2 linked regions of the Diceros bicornis minor genome follow. The protein of the gene in region 1 purifies or fractionates together with the protein of each later gene. This does not show direct contact. Links are inferred from orthologs where the notes say so. Each region holds a gene or a part of one and is shown in the gene's direction. Other genes may lie near its edges.

What was found. Proteins that work in one complex are often made in the same cells at the same time.
Region 2: the proteins of NUP62 (region 1) and NUP88 purify together in Homo sapiens (co-immunoprecipitation; 4 studies listed by BioGRID and IntAct, counting the BioPlex papers as one, with this or other methods). This does not show direct contact. The link is inferred for Diceros bicornis minor from reciprocal best matches to the Homo sapiens genes NUP62 and NUP88.

What each region holds. Positions count from the first base shown.
Region 1 is NC_080773.1:25,283,318-25,290,326, reverse strand, and holds the start of NUP62 (nuclear pore glycoprotein p62), read left to right. Parts: upstream 1-4,005; 5' UTR 4,006-4,230; exon of another isoform or gene 4,231-4,384; intron 4,385-7,009. Other genes in the region: ATF5 (cyclic AMP-dependent transcription factor ATF-5), read right to left, coding at 939-1,594, 2,546-2,723. UniProt on the Homo sapiens protein: Essential component of the nuclear pore complex. The N-terminal is probably involved in nucleocytoplasmic transport.
Region 2 is NC_080757.1:12,079,943-12,087,321, reverse strand, and holds the start of NUP88 (nuclear pore complex protein Nup88), read left to right. Parts: upstream 1-4,371; 5' UTR 4,372-4,448; exon of another isoform or gene 4,449-4,492; intron 4,493-4,648; 5' UTR 4,649-4,767; coding exon 4,768-5,070; intron 5,071-7,379. Other genes in the region: RPAIN (RPA-interacting protein), read right to left, coding at 1,147-1,207, 2,768-2,938, 4,168-4,248. UniProt on the Homo sapiens protein: Component of nuclear pore complex.

The sequences.
Region 1 (7,009 bases):
ATAGTTGTATATCATAGCTGCACATCCTTCTAGTTGCTGTATGTGGGACGCGGCCTCAGCATGGCCGGAGAAGCGGTGCGTCGGTGCGCGCCCGGGATCCAAACCCGGGCCGCCAGCAGCGGAGCACGCGCACTTAACCGCTAAGCCACGGGGCGGCCCTAGAAGTATTATCTGTTGTGTCTCCTATCATCATTATTGTCTTTGGCCTAAGATTGCCCTCTCCCCAACTTCTCCCCTCACAGACAAGACTCACAGGCCAGAGAAAATTCTTCATTTTATTTCCGCTCACAACCCCCCAAAGGATCAGTCCCCGCCCTCGCTCACCTAGAGGCAGCCCCTCTCCCAACACCTGCACAAAACACTGATTTCCTCCCAGAGCTAAAATGAACACCCGGTGCCCACTATGGCCATCCCCCGCCCTGCCCGCCTCCCCATCTGCCTGCACATCCACCTGCTCTGTGAACTTGGCTACCTTTTGGCTCCCTGCCCCAATGGAGCTCCCGAAGGTCACCTGGCTTGGCATTTTGATTACATGGGTGCCATTCTTCAAACCCTCCCTGACTTGCGTCCCCAGATGGCTCTCCTGGCCTCATTCTGCATAGCTTCCTGGCCACACGTCCCTGTTTGAGAGACCAGGTTCCCAAGCTCTGCCCTGCTCCCCGAATTCCCTGTGGGCCTCAGCCCCTCGGCTGTTACTTGAGGAGTACAGATGTTGACTAATGCCAAACATCCATGATTCTGGGGAGGGAGGAGGGGAGCAAACTCAGAAATGGATGAGCAGAGAGGAGAATAAAAGCAGAGAGAGAGGGAGAGAGAGAGAGATCTGGAATGAAGGTGGAGGCAGGGGGATGCCGAGGGACTCTCCCACCTCAGCTCCAGAAACAGAAGTGACCCAAGCTAAAGACCAGCGCCCCCTACTGCCCAAAGCCCCTGCCCGGCTAGCTGCTGCGGGTCCTCTGGCTTCGAGCCTTGTACACTTCGATGAGCAGATCCTTGACGTACTGGATCTCCCGCTCCACTGACTCCGCCCTCTCCCTCAGCTCCCGGTTCCGAGCCTCCAGCCCCTGGCACTCGCCCTCCAGGGCCTCGCCCTCTGCCCGCTTCCTCTGGCGGTACCTCAGAGCTGCCGACTTGTTCTGGTCTCTCTTCTTTTGCTTGCGGTCCCCTCGGGTGGTGGCAGGATTGGGGTAGGGGGCCGGGCGAGAGGGCTGAGGTGGAGGAGGAGGGGGCTGCTGTGGGGGAGGCAAGTGGGCCAAACCCGAGTCCCCATGCCCGGCCTCACTGCGGCAGCAGATGGCCAGCAAGTCAAGCGTATCCAGGGCAGGGGGCTGGGGGAAGTCAAAGGTGGGGAGGGGGAGGGGGAGGGAGGGCGCTGGTGCTGGTGGTGGTGGTGGGGAGGATGGCGGGAGGAGTGGGGCATCAAGGAAGAAGTCTTCCATCTGCTCCAGCTCCTTCTTGAGGAGGGAGGCCATGGCTTCCAGGTCAGGTGGGGGTGGGGAAGGTGGGGGGAGGGCACCTGGGGGCAAGGGGGGCTCCAGAGGGAGAAGGGCTGTAAAGTCAACCCGCTCAGTCATCCAGTCAGAGAAGCCGTCACCTGGAGGAGTGCAGGGGGACATAAAGGTCCTTGAGTTCCTGGTCCTCCACCCAACCGGGTGCTCACTCATGTCAGCCTCATTCATTCCATTCACTGAGTAAACCCACCAACTAGCCAATCAGTCAACCAACCAATCAATGAATCATCAAACCAGCCAACCAACCAACCAATAAACCAGTCAAACATCTAACTAACCAATTAACCGAGTCAACCAATCAACCAACCAACCAACCAACTAAATGAATCAGTCAACCAACCAATCAACCTTTTAACCAATCAATCAGTGAACCAGTCAACCACCCAATGACCCAAACAACAAAACAATTAGCCATTACTTCAACCATTCCAACATCCTCTTTACTGATTACTCTACACCTGTGGTTTGTCTGATTTACTCTCTAGTTTATTCTTAAAAGGCAAACTAGATTGCACATACACAACACACCCCGTTTCCTCTTTAACTCATTAAGTATTGAAAACCCACTATGTACCAAGCATGTCGGACACATTAATGAATAAAATAATTCCTTCCTCAGGGCCTCTGCATATGCTGTTCCCTCCTCCTGAAAAGCTATTCCCTTGGATCTTTTCATGGCTCATTCCCTCCCATGCTTTAGGCCTCAGCCAAAACGCTACCTACTTGGAGAGGGTTTCCTGGCTACACACTATAAACTAGGTCCCCGTTGTCATTTTTCAGCTAAATGACTGTTTCCCACTTATGCCACATTATCATTGAATATGTCTCGTCTGTCTCCTCACTAGAGTGTGAACTCCAGGAGGACAGTGATCGTGTCAGTCTTGTTCCCATCTGTATCCCCAGCACCTGACATGTTATAGGTGCTCAATAAATATTGATGGATTGAATGAATAAATGAATGAAGGAATTCTTCCTCCTTCCCCCTGCCCCCCATACCCCAATTCACCCCACCTCCATTCTTTGCCTGCCCTTACCTGCCAGGGGCTCTCCCCCCCCTGGAAGCCCGCCCTCCAGGGCTCCCCCAAGGACCTCATAGGGGCCCAGGGGGGCAGGGGCCAGGGGGAGTTTCCCATAGTCTACGAGCCAGCCCAGCCCGCTAGCTGGGAGCAGGGCCCTGTCCAGCTCCAGCCCCAGGGTCGCCAGGAGTGACATGGCTGCAGCACAGGCGCTGGGCGCGGATGGCAACGAAGGAGGCTGCACCGGCAGCTGACAGGGGGCTCTGGAGGTTGCTCAGCTGGGCGAAGACAGGCACCAAGGCGGAAGTGGAGGACCTACATGTGGGAGGCAAAAGCGACTGGGGTCAGAAGCCAGCCTCACCCACTACGGAAGTCACAGGGAAACCAAGCCACACCCCCACCTCCCTGGGGTCCTCCCCCCTCCCCCACTCCTGCTTCCAACTGGGCTTGGGACGAGCCTAGCTCTCAGAATTCTAAATCTGCTCTTTCTTTCCCCAAATCTCTGAGGCCCACCCACTCCCAAGGGAATTCGCTTTAGGATCGACTTACTTTTCTTTAGAATCCCCAAGCCCGGATCCTTCCAATACAGAAACCTACAGGTCTCCCCGGGGAATTTCCTTAACTCCTCCCACCCACCTCATAATATTCCCCTTCGTAAAAAAACTCAATCCCAGGGGAATTTTCTTCCAGCCGCACCACCCCCTCTAAAATATTTCCTTTAGGCCCCATCGCCTCCCTCGAGTCCATCTCAAATCAGCTCCCAGGGGAATTTCCCCCTGCCCCGCCCCTTCATCCATGTGATCCACTCAAATCCCACTCTGCCCTTTTAACTTTGCGGTGACCTCCCCCGACCCTCTAAGTCCCGCCCCTCACTGTTTATCTTAGCCCCACCCCTCCCCGATGATTCCCCCGAGGCCCCACCTCTTTCTCGGATCGAAACCCCGCCCCTCAGCAAACGGTTCGCTGAGCCCCGCCCCTCTCACAATGGGTTCCCTCAAGCCCCACTCCTCCCGATGGCTGTGATCCTAGCTCCACCCCCTTTTTAACAGGTTGCCTCTAAGTCCCGCCTTCTACCCTGTCAATCTACACCAGCCCTCGCCCCAACAGGTGCCCGATGAAAGAGAAGCTATGCAGTGCGCCTGAGCAATGTGAAGCCGGGACGCAGGTCGTGGGAGCCGGGAGGCCGGGGAGGAACAGCTCTCCTCGCCACCACCCTTCCACTCCCGGCTCTCTAACCCAGGGCCAAAGCACATGCTTCGTCCTCCTGGGGGTCACTGCGCATGTGCGGCTGCTTACTGCCCGCCCTTCGGACGCAAATACGGACTCTGGTGGGCTGCTGCGCATGAGCAACCGCGAGAGGGCGGAATCGTCCTGGGGGGTAGTGCGCAGGCGCAACCTCACGCGGGCCGTCTTTAAACTCCAACACTCGCTGGAAGAACGCACCCTCCCCCCCTCGAGCCGAGTGCGCATGCTCCGCCTCGCGTCGACGGCCCGTTTTCCCTCTTCTGCGCCTGCGCGACCGTGATTCCTCGCTCTCGTCTCGCCATCCCCCAGGTCGCGTTGTGAGGGCCGCGAGCTTCCAAAGGGCGGGAAAGGCGGTTGGAGAGGGAGGGGCGAGCGTTACTCACTCCATGGCTGCAGAAAGGAGAGGCGACGGCGGCCTCGGCTGAAGAAAGAAGGCGGGAGCGGAGAGCGCAAGCGCGGTGAGCGCGGAGATGGGCCGTGAGGCACGGAGGGGTGGCGGCTACAGAGCCATGGCCGGGGCTACGCGGGCGGAGGCGGCGTCGGGGTAGCGTGAGGAGAGATCGTGATCTGAGGACGGGGACTGAGGCGGCGCCGGGGACTGGGAACAGATATACCGGGGGCGGCGCAGCACGGCCCGCTCGGATCCCTCCGCGCCCCGCCCCCGCGCGGCCCCAACCGGGGGGCGGGCCTGGCCTCCCCTCGGGATCCCGGGATCCGGCCCTCTCTTCCTTCCGACCCCGGGATCCGGCCCTTCTGCTTCCTCTGATCCGGGGATCCAGCCCCCTCTTCCTCCCGACCCCGGGAGTTCCGGCCTTCCCTTCCCCCCGACGTGGGGGTCCAGCCCCCTCCTCCCTGCGATTCCGGGAATTCGGCCCCTCCTCTTCCCCGAGACCCGCGTCGGTTCATTTCTTGTTTCCCTGCCCCGGTTCACGAATTTCCGGCCAGCCGCATGCTCGTCTCCTTATCCCCCAACTGCCGTCCCCCAACCCTTTTTGTGGTTCGAGGCTGGCGTGAGTCATAGACCGGCCAGGGTGGCCTTGGGCATATAACTTAAGTTCTCTGGCCTCATAGATGGGGAACCGTTCGCAAAATGAGGTGGGGTTGTTTGTGCGAATGAAATAAGCGGAGAGCCGTGGGACCCAGGGCCCGGCTCCCTGCAGGCCTGTTCGGTGTGTTTTATTATTAATACGAATTCTGGGGCTCGGTCTGACGCCTTGCTCTCCTCCTGCCAAGAGCCCCAGACTCCTGACCATCCGACACCTGCTAATAGGTCATTCTTTAGCAGTGTCGCCTTTACTCCTCAGTGTCCAGCCGTCCCCACCCTCCTCCACGCCAGATGATGGGCGGTCAGCCCCCTCTCGGTGCAGGGAATTCAGGCATCGTCGCCCTCGCTGTTTTCTCCATCCCGTGCCCACCTCCCCTCAGCGCTTATCCTCAGCACTTCTTTCGAGACACTTGGTTCATTCTTCTGCCCCTGCCCCTCACCCTGACTTCCTTTCAAAGAGTCCCCCGCCTCTGCTGCGCCCCACTGGATCCGTGTTCCAGCCCTGCCAAAAATGGGGAGACCTACACTTGCATTTGCTAAAAGAGGAGAGCTTCCTCGCCATCCCCTCCCTGTGGCTGGGCCCTCCACCAGCCCAAGTGGATGCGGGTCTTTCCTCTGCTGCAGAAACCCCTCCCTTTCCCACCCTGCCTCTGTCCACATCAGGATGTGACACCTGGAGTTCAGCCTTCATCACTTTTGTGTTGGTTATGAAACTGAATCAAGATCCAGAGAAGGTGGGGGAACCCCGATCTTGAGAGTTATCTGGGAATGAACATACGCAGGCTTTTGTTGCATGCAGCAAGTCCTTCTTGGGATCTGACCACTTTCCCTTAGACACTTATTGTCCACTCTGCTGGTATTTGAGCACTGGCGCTATAGGGGCTGCGTTATACCTAGTCGGTATAGAGGAGCAGTTAAGAGCACACTCTGGAACCAGGTTATTGCGTTCCATCCCTGACTGCACCGCACTTAGTAGCTCACTGGCAATGTCCTTTATTTCCCTGTGCCTCAGTTTCCATTAATAATACCAGAATGGAGTGTGGAGTTTGGTTAATAGAAACGTACCAATGTACGTGGCCATTATTATATTGTACCTATTTCTTAGTACTGTTAACGAGGATTAAATAAGTTAACCGAGGTCAAGCGTTTAGACTAGTGCCTGGCACACAGTAGGTGCTACCTAAGGGGGTATTATTATTATTATTATTAGTGAGGTGTGTGTTTTATCTCCTTTGCTAAGCAGTAAGTTCTTTAAAAAGTCTTCCACCTTTTAAGTGAGACTTAGGGGCCGACTTTCTGCTTCTCAGTATAGATGTTGAGTAACAGCAGGTGAGAGTAGGGTAGGCTCTTGGACAGACTGCTGGCAGTGAGGAGGCCCAGTCATCACCCAGAGTCTTCTCCTTCTGGAAAGACCTAGGTTATACACGTGGACTAGGTAAAGTATTTTTCTTTAAATCAACTTTTTATTTTGGAGTAATTTTAGATTTACAGAAAAGTTGCAAAGATAGTGGAGTTGCCATATACCCCTCACGCAGTTCCCCCGTTGTTGACACCTTAGATTACTTGGTTCATTTGTCACAACTAAGGAACAAACATCATACATTTCTATTAACTAAACTCCACACTCTGTTCTGGTTTCACTAGTTGCGCCCTAATGCCCTCTTTTTATTCCGGCGTCTGTCCACGATGCCATATTACATTTAGTCATCTGTCTTCTTAGCGTTCTCTGGGCTGCGGCAGGTTCTCAGATTTCCCTTGTCTTTCATGACCTTGACGGCTTTGAAGAGTGGTGGTTGGGTATTCTGTGGAATGTCCCCCAATTTGGTTTTGTCTCATAGACTGGGGTTATGGGTTTTTGAGAGGATGGCTAGGTAGGATATTTTTTAATAACTGGAAATGAGTGTTCGGTGTATGCTGACTGAGAAGACACTAGGGCAGGGACCCTGGTCCCCTGTCCCAGTCCCTTGTGCCTTTTTCTCTCTATAGGTGTTGGATCCCACCTAGTTCAGCCCTGGTGCCAACTGCCCCACTCAAGCACTTGACTCAGTCCTGCTGAGAGGGTGCCAGTTCGCACACTTAGCTCCCTAGCTCTTCCCAGCATGTTCTAATTTATGGGCGGTAGGTCATCAGTGGCTGTCTGTGAGACCAGGTCTCAGCACCCTGAGCCCTGTCCTGTGCCCACCCCTGACCCA
Region 2 (7,379 bases), on another chromosome or scaffold:
AAGTCTTTTCTATGTATTAACTTCACTGCTATTATCCTCATTTTAAAGATGAAGAAACTGAAGCACAGGGGGATGAAATGCTTTGCTCTGTGCCACACAAGTTAAGACGGAAAAGCTAAGAAGTGAATCTTAGCAGTCTGGCTCAAGAGTCCATGCTCTGGCCTCTTCACCATAACAGCTATCGTTTATTGAAAGCTTTCTGTATGCCAGGCACTGCTCTAAGTCTTCCACACATGTTATTTACGCCTACAAACAAACTTATAGGGTAGGTCTATTATCTTTATTTTACAGATGATAAAAACTAAGCCTAATCAAGATAGGGCTATGCGGAATAAATAACTTACTATATAACGTGCTAAATTATGCACTCTACGGTGCTATGGATACCTCAGGAAGCAGATGCTCACAAAACCCTGGGGAGTCAGTAAAGAATGGATTGAGAGAGAAGGCACTTAAATTAGGTAGTGCACAAGAGATCTGATCATGCACTGTATCCTGTAAGGTAACAGGATTACTATTAATCCATTAATAGAGAGGTACTGTAGGATAGAATAAACATAGGAACTGGACTCACAAAATTAATTTTGCTTCCCAACTCCACCACTAGCTATACAACCTGTGTAAGATACCACTTTCTTCTGTCTCCTACTACCTTGTAGGGTAGTCATAGGAGATAACAGTATCATGGAAGGAGTCTTCAGTGTGCTGAAGACAGACAGCCAAGACTTCAGAATAAAAATAGAGACTTCTGGACACTGAAGATGGAAGTAGAAGAAGGGGAGTTAAGAACTAATTCTGTTTAGAAAATACATCAACACTAGAGTAGCTTGAGGCTTTTTTTTTTTTTTTTTTATCTTTTTGTTTCACTGAGGAAGATTTGCCCTGAGCTAACATGTGTTGCCAATCTTCCTTCCTTTTTTTTTTTCCCTTGAGGAAGATTCCTCCTGAGCTAAACAAGTGTGCCAATCTTTCTCCATTTGTGTATTTGGGTCACCGCCACTGCACAGCCGCCAACAAGTGGTGTAGGTCCGCACCCGGGAACCAAACCTGGGCCGCTGAAGCAGAGCGCATTGAACTTAACCACTAGGCCACAGGGCCCGCCCCTTGAGTAGCCCCATAGTAGGAAGGACTACTCCCAGAGGTCACCTTGGTCAATCAGCTCCTGTTGGATTTCCTCCAGCACAGTCAGGTCCATCGGCCCCTCCAACTGCAAGAGAAAGTGGGGTCATCAGAGGTTTGAGGTTATAGTCAGCTGACAAGCCCCACAATGATTCATACTTGGAGGCTGGCTTGAAGAACTCAGATTTAACTGAAAAAATCAGCCAAGGCCTTCTGCAGAAAATGCTGATAATACAGTAATGTGGTCATGCTGAGAAGTCATCAACAAAAGATTAAATTAACCACCCAGGGACAAAATAATGGCACCAAATTTGAAGGAGACAGTATAGTGCAGCAGCTAAGTATATGGTTCTGCCAGAGCTATGTGACTGCTGGAAAGTTCCTAACCTCTGTAAACTTCAGTTTGGGCCTCTGTAAAGTGGGAATAAAACCTCCCGCAGAGGGTATTTGTGAGCACTGATTGTGATTATGTAACTCAAACATTGAAGATACTGTAGGACACATAGAAGGCACCAAATAATGCATCATTATTATAGAGAGCTTTGATGTTTCCAAAGCAGTTTCCTACCTGTTTTCTTATATTGTCCTCACAATGCTAACAGTATCTTCTTCATATTATACATGTGAAAATTAACGCTCAAAGAGGCAGAGTAGAGTTAAGAGTCAATAGCAAAACCCGGATCAGAATTCTGGAACTACTGACTTCCAACCCAGTGCTCCTCCTGATACACGGTAAATGGTTTCCTATCCACATCCAGCTCCCAACTCTGACTGAGATTAGAATCAGAAAGCTCCTGGAAATTTTTTTTCTTTCTTTTTTTTTTTTTTTGTGAGGAGATCAGCCCTGTGCTAACATCTGCCAATCTTTCTCTTTTTTTCGCTGAGGAAGACTGGCCCTGGGCTAACATCCGTGCCCATCTTCCTCCACTTTATATGGGACGCCACCACAGCATGGCTTGACAAGCAGTGCGTCGGTGCGTGCCCGGGATCCGAACCGGCGAACCCCGGACCGCCGCAGCAGAGCGTGTGCACTTAACTGCTTGCGCCACCAGGCCGGCCCCTCTGGAGGTCTTTTTTTTTTTTTTTTATAATTTTATTTATTTATTATTTATTTTTCCCCCAAAGTCCCAGTAGATAGTTGTATGTCATAGCGCACATCCTTCTAGTTGCTGTATGTGGGACTCGGCCTCAGCATGGCCGGGGAAGTGGTGCGTTGGTGTGCGCCTGGGATGCGAACCTGGGCCGCCAGTTGTGGAGCGCGCGCACTTAACCGCTAAGCCACGGGGATGGCCCTGGAGATCTTTTCAAAAAGAGAGATTCCTAGCCCGTGCCTACTGAATCAAAATTTCAAGGGGTGGAGCCAAGGAGTGAAATTTCTTTCTTTTTAGTTTCATAAGTGATTATGAAACTAATTATGAAACATTATGCTGCAATGATGCAACTGGTCGACAGTCTGGTATTTATGAACCATTAATCTAGACGAGTCTCACATTAAGGGTAGGAGAACCTGGGTTAAAGGCAGTTAGAATCCTGATTGCGGGCCAGAGGATGGATGGGTTTAGAGGACTTGGGGAAACAGGTACAGAGAGGACACTAGCCATTCTTGGTGCTGTAGCACCCTCCCTGAAAACACATATCCCAGCCTGACCTGAGCCAAGGCCTCTGGAGAGCTCTTCACTGACTGCAAAGCATGCCACTCTTCCTCCATCACCTCTTGCACTAGAAGGGTGTTCTGAGCTCCCCCTGGTAGATGGCCTCCAGCCTGGCGGTATTTGTTCAGGAGCCTGTCCCGGCTGTTTCTCATTCTCTCCAGGCATCCCTTGGGAGAAGGAGAAGGATGGGGGGAAAAAAAAACCCATTCCATTTTTAACAAAAAACCTCTTAGATTAGTTGTTAAAACATTAAAGGAAACTTATAGACACAAAATTTCAATTATAATCCTAACTATTGTTATTTTTGCACATTCCTCTCTGGTCCTTATCCACATGTAGACAGGTGAAACCACAATGCTTTGTTCATGTGTTTCCAGATTACTATATCTCATATTCTGTCCTCAATGCCAGTTTTCTCAATGGCTGGGTGGTGATAACTCAGCATCCACTGTGCTATTACAGGACATTTAGGTTGCTCCAAATTCTTGCTACTCTAGATATGGCTATGATAGTCGCCTTCCTGTACAACAGTGTTTCTCAAGTTGGGGCGATTTTGTCCCCCAGGGGACATTTGGCAATGCCTGGAGACATTTTTGGTTGTCACAACTCTAGTTGTAGGGCTACTGACACCTAGTGGGTAGAGGCCAGGGATGCCACTAAACATTCTGCAATGCACAGAACAGCCCACCACAAGGAAGAACCATCTTCCTCAAAATGTCAATAGCTAAGGTTGAGAAACCCTGCTGTCAACAGTCATTTCTATCATCAGATTATTTTCCTGGGATATACCCACTACTTTAGAGATTCCTGGAAAGGTAGGCCATATTACTTACAGGAACTATGCCGAGTGCACAAGCGGTCAGAACTGACTTAGGGCACAACTTTGCTAAGACTTAGTAACTGAGGCTTAGAAGAAACAATTTGGAGCAGAAATAATTTCTGGAATTAGAAATAACTTCTTATTACTCGATTCCTCTCTGGAATAGAAATTATCTCTATCTCGCATGAGGTACGCATACAAAGCGCCTCTCTCGGTGCCCACCTATCCAACAGCAGCAGGCGGTGGTGGCGTTATCGCAGAAGCGCAGAGGAGCGGTCATGACCACACTTCAAATTTAATACAAACCCGAAATCAAAATTAAGGCTTCCTGGGACTGGGCCGGCCCGGGCTAATCCCACACCTAGGGGTCCAGAAACTCTGGGAGGCGGCCGGGCAGTGGCCAAGGCCAGCTCCACAGGCGGGCGGCCAGGGTCCAGGTCCACCTCCACTGGCCAAGCGCTCCCGGCACCTGAGTCCCCCAGCTGGGCTGAGGCGAAGGCACGGAGGAGAGCGGCTCCAGCACGGATAAGAGGAGTGACGACGGCCCAGCCAAGGCTTCCCAAACCCCACACTCACCTGCCGAAAAGCCTCTTTCCAAGGCGGCGAGCCCACCAGTTTGTACAGCGAGCGGCGCCGAGACCCTGAGGGCTCTGCCATCTGCTCTTCGCGGGAGTCGCCGCCAGAAAGCTCCGCCCCCCTCCTCGGGAGCGCGCAGAACCCTGGGAGTTGTAGTTTCTGGGTGCCGATCGCGCTGGCTCGCAGGGAATTCTGGGAAGCGTTGTCTCACCGGCCGGCCCCACACGGAGACACATTTGGGCATCTCAAGGATGGGTGACTGAAGTAGTGACATTTGGGAAGTAAGTCTTGAGGGGAGGTTTTGGATGTGTAGGTTTATCCAGGTGTGAGTGTCCAATAAGCAATCAGACACTACACAGGTCTCAGGCGCTCCCGCAGGTACTGACTTTCCGCAGCACCAAAGCTGTCTCTAAGCAGGTACTGGTCTGTCCCGCCCCCTTTGGCTGCGGTTGGTCTCACCGTCGCCCCGCCCCCACTCTAGCCTCGTGCTTCCGGGCTGCCTGCTCGACGATTGGCTGAAGCAGTGGACGGCTGGCTGCGGATTGGCTGCGCTCAGCGGCGGGTTGAGCAACTGGAGTGAAGGGAGCAGTTGGGCCAAAGATGGCGGCCGCCGAGGGCCCCGCGGGCGACGGTGAGCTGTGGCAGAGCTGGCTTCCTAACCACGTCGTGTTCACGCGGCTGCGGGAAGGACTGAAAAACCAGAGCCCAGCCGAGGCTCAGAAACCGGCTTCTTCATCACTGCCTTCGTCGCCGCCGCCGCCGCCGCAGTTGCTTACGAGAAACCTGGTCTTAGGCCTCGGCGGAGAGCTCTTCCTGTGGGATGGGGAAGGCAGCTCCTTCTTGGTGGTTCGCCTTCGGGGCCTCAGCGGCGCCGGCGAGGAGCCCTCCCTCTCCCAGTACCAGGTACGGACAGGCTGATGTTGGAAATGACCCGCAGCTGGGATCTGAACTGGTTTTTTTTGTTCCCTTCCCATCCTGGCGGTTTTCGTCTTCTGGTGGATGTGCTATTCAAGTGTAGGCACACGTCCGACTTCGAGGGGAAAGGTCTCTCTTCTTCCTTATTTCGTTCCGCTCTGGCATGGCCACATAACCTTTTGAAGCCTCTCTTTCTGTATTTCATTCCTTCGACAAGTGTTTACTGACTCCAACAACTGTGCCCGACACTGTTACAGGAACTCACGCTCTCAACGTGCTTAAGTTCTTGGGGTCTGGGAGGAGGGGAAGGACCATGGAATCATCAATAAAATATCACTGAGGCAGGTGGTCTGAAGAAACACAAAGCAGGGTAAAGGGATAGAGAGCCTGGATGCAGTTGCTGTTTTTAGAAGGTTGGTCCTGAGAAACCTATTTCAAGACATGACACTCATAAAATAATAAGGATAGTCCTAACTTGCTCTTGGGGTTGTTGTGAGCATCACGTCAGGTAATAGATTTGAAAGCACCAGGTTCGGTGCCTGCCATGGAGGAGGAATCCCCTGTTAATTCTTTCTTTTTCCTTTTAGAAAATTAGGCCCCAAAGTTGGAAGGGATTTTTGTTAAGCCAGCAGCATGTGAAAGTGGGTGTGATCAGAAAGTATACCAGACTTGCTGTAATCAAGCAGTGCTTTGTGGAAATGTTTATTTGTAATAAACTGATTCTCTTAAAGATGAAAAAATAAAAAACTTGGCACCCATCCTAATGCATGACATCTGTTGTGTGCCATTGTCCGATTCTTGTTGATGAGAGATGATTTGAATTTTAAAAGGTGCTAGCAGTGTTTCTGCAGTTTTGAAAATAGGTCACAAGTCTACAAGCTACTTACTGTAAAGTTTCAGTTCACAGGACTAATTATCAGATGTTCAGCACACAGTATTCCAATAGTACCCTATGTTGCTGTGCAGCATCTGGCACAGTCATGATGAAATTATTCATACTTGTTTGTTGTTTTTTCTTTTTTTTTTCTTTTTTTGGTGAGGAAGATTGTCCCTGAGCTAATGCCTTTGCCAGTCTTCCTCTATTTTGTACGTGAGACGCTGCCACAGCATGGCTTGATGAGCCGTATGTAGCTCCATGCCAGGATTCAACCCGGCGAACCCGTGTCCACCGAAGCAGAATGCGTGAACTTAACCACTATGCCACGGAGCTGGCCCACTTGTTTGTTTATTGTCTGTCTTCTTTTCTAGATTGTAAGCACCAAGGCAGGGGCTGTGTCTGCCTTACTTATTTTTGTATTTCCAGTACTTCACAGAGTACCTGGAACATATAAGCTCTCAGTAAATATTGGTGACTGTCTGAATGACCCTGAACCCTCCAGAATCTCAATAACTCCGAGATAGGCAAGAAAGCAGCTTAGCATGAGTTGTATTTTGAGCATTAACGAAAGCATGAGTAGTGACTTTAGAAACAAAACAAAGCAACAACAACAACAAAACGCTAAATACAGTGGTTATCACAAGTGATCTAAGGTGATTAGATTGTATGTATAGCAGAAGAAAGGTAGCCTCTGTTTGATTTGCGATATACTGTCAAAATTAAGTAGAAAAAAGATGGAGGTTGAGAAGATAGGGAAGAGAAGGAAAGAACCCCTGACAGGAGGAAAAACAATTTGATTAGAATCAGCAAAGAGCAGCTGAAAAAAACAAAACAAGGTTTACAAACATCAGTAGATTGTTTAGTAGAAATCTTATATTCAGAGCAATCTTGTCTAAAAGGATTTTGGCTTAGGGTGATTCTGCATACATAAGGATAAGCAATACATTGGGAATCTCATGGTTTATTACTGAAAGTAGAAAGAAAAAAAATGGAAATTTGACAAGGTCGTGAAAGAAGAAATAGGTACCAATAGAAAAAGTGAAATTTTTTTGAGGGCATATGATGCTGAGACAAACAGCTTATCCGAACCTCCTGAAAATATCACTGTTCCATGTTAAATCTGCGTAGATAAAGCAGCGTTTTACTTGCTGCAGAAGCTCTTAAAGCCATTCTTTATCTTATTGTATTATTTCTAATATAGTAATTATCATTAATACTTCTGAGTTCTTCATTTGTCTCTTTACTGAAACATATATTAAAAGTCAGTCCGCAATATGCCATATACTGTGCTAAGGATACAGAGAGGAGAGAGACAGGTCTCAAGTAATTCGTAGTTGTGTGGGATGAGCCAAAAAAAGGATAATTAAAATACAGAGTGATGAGAACTGTAATAGAATTGTCCAGAGTGTGGGAGGACAGA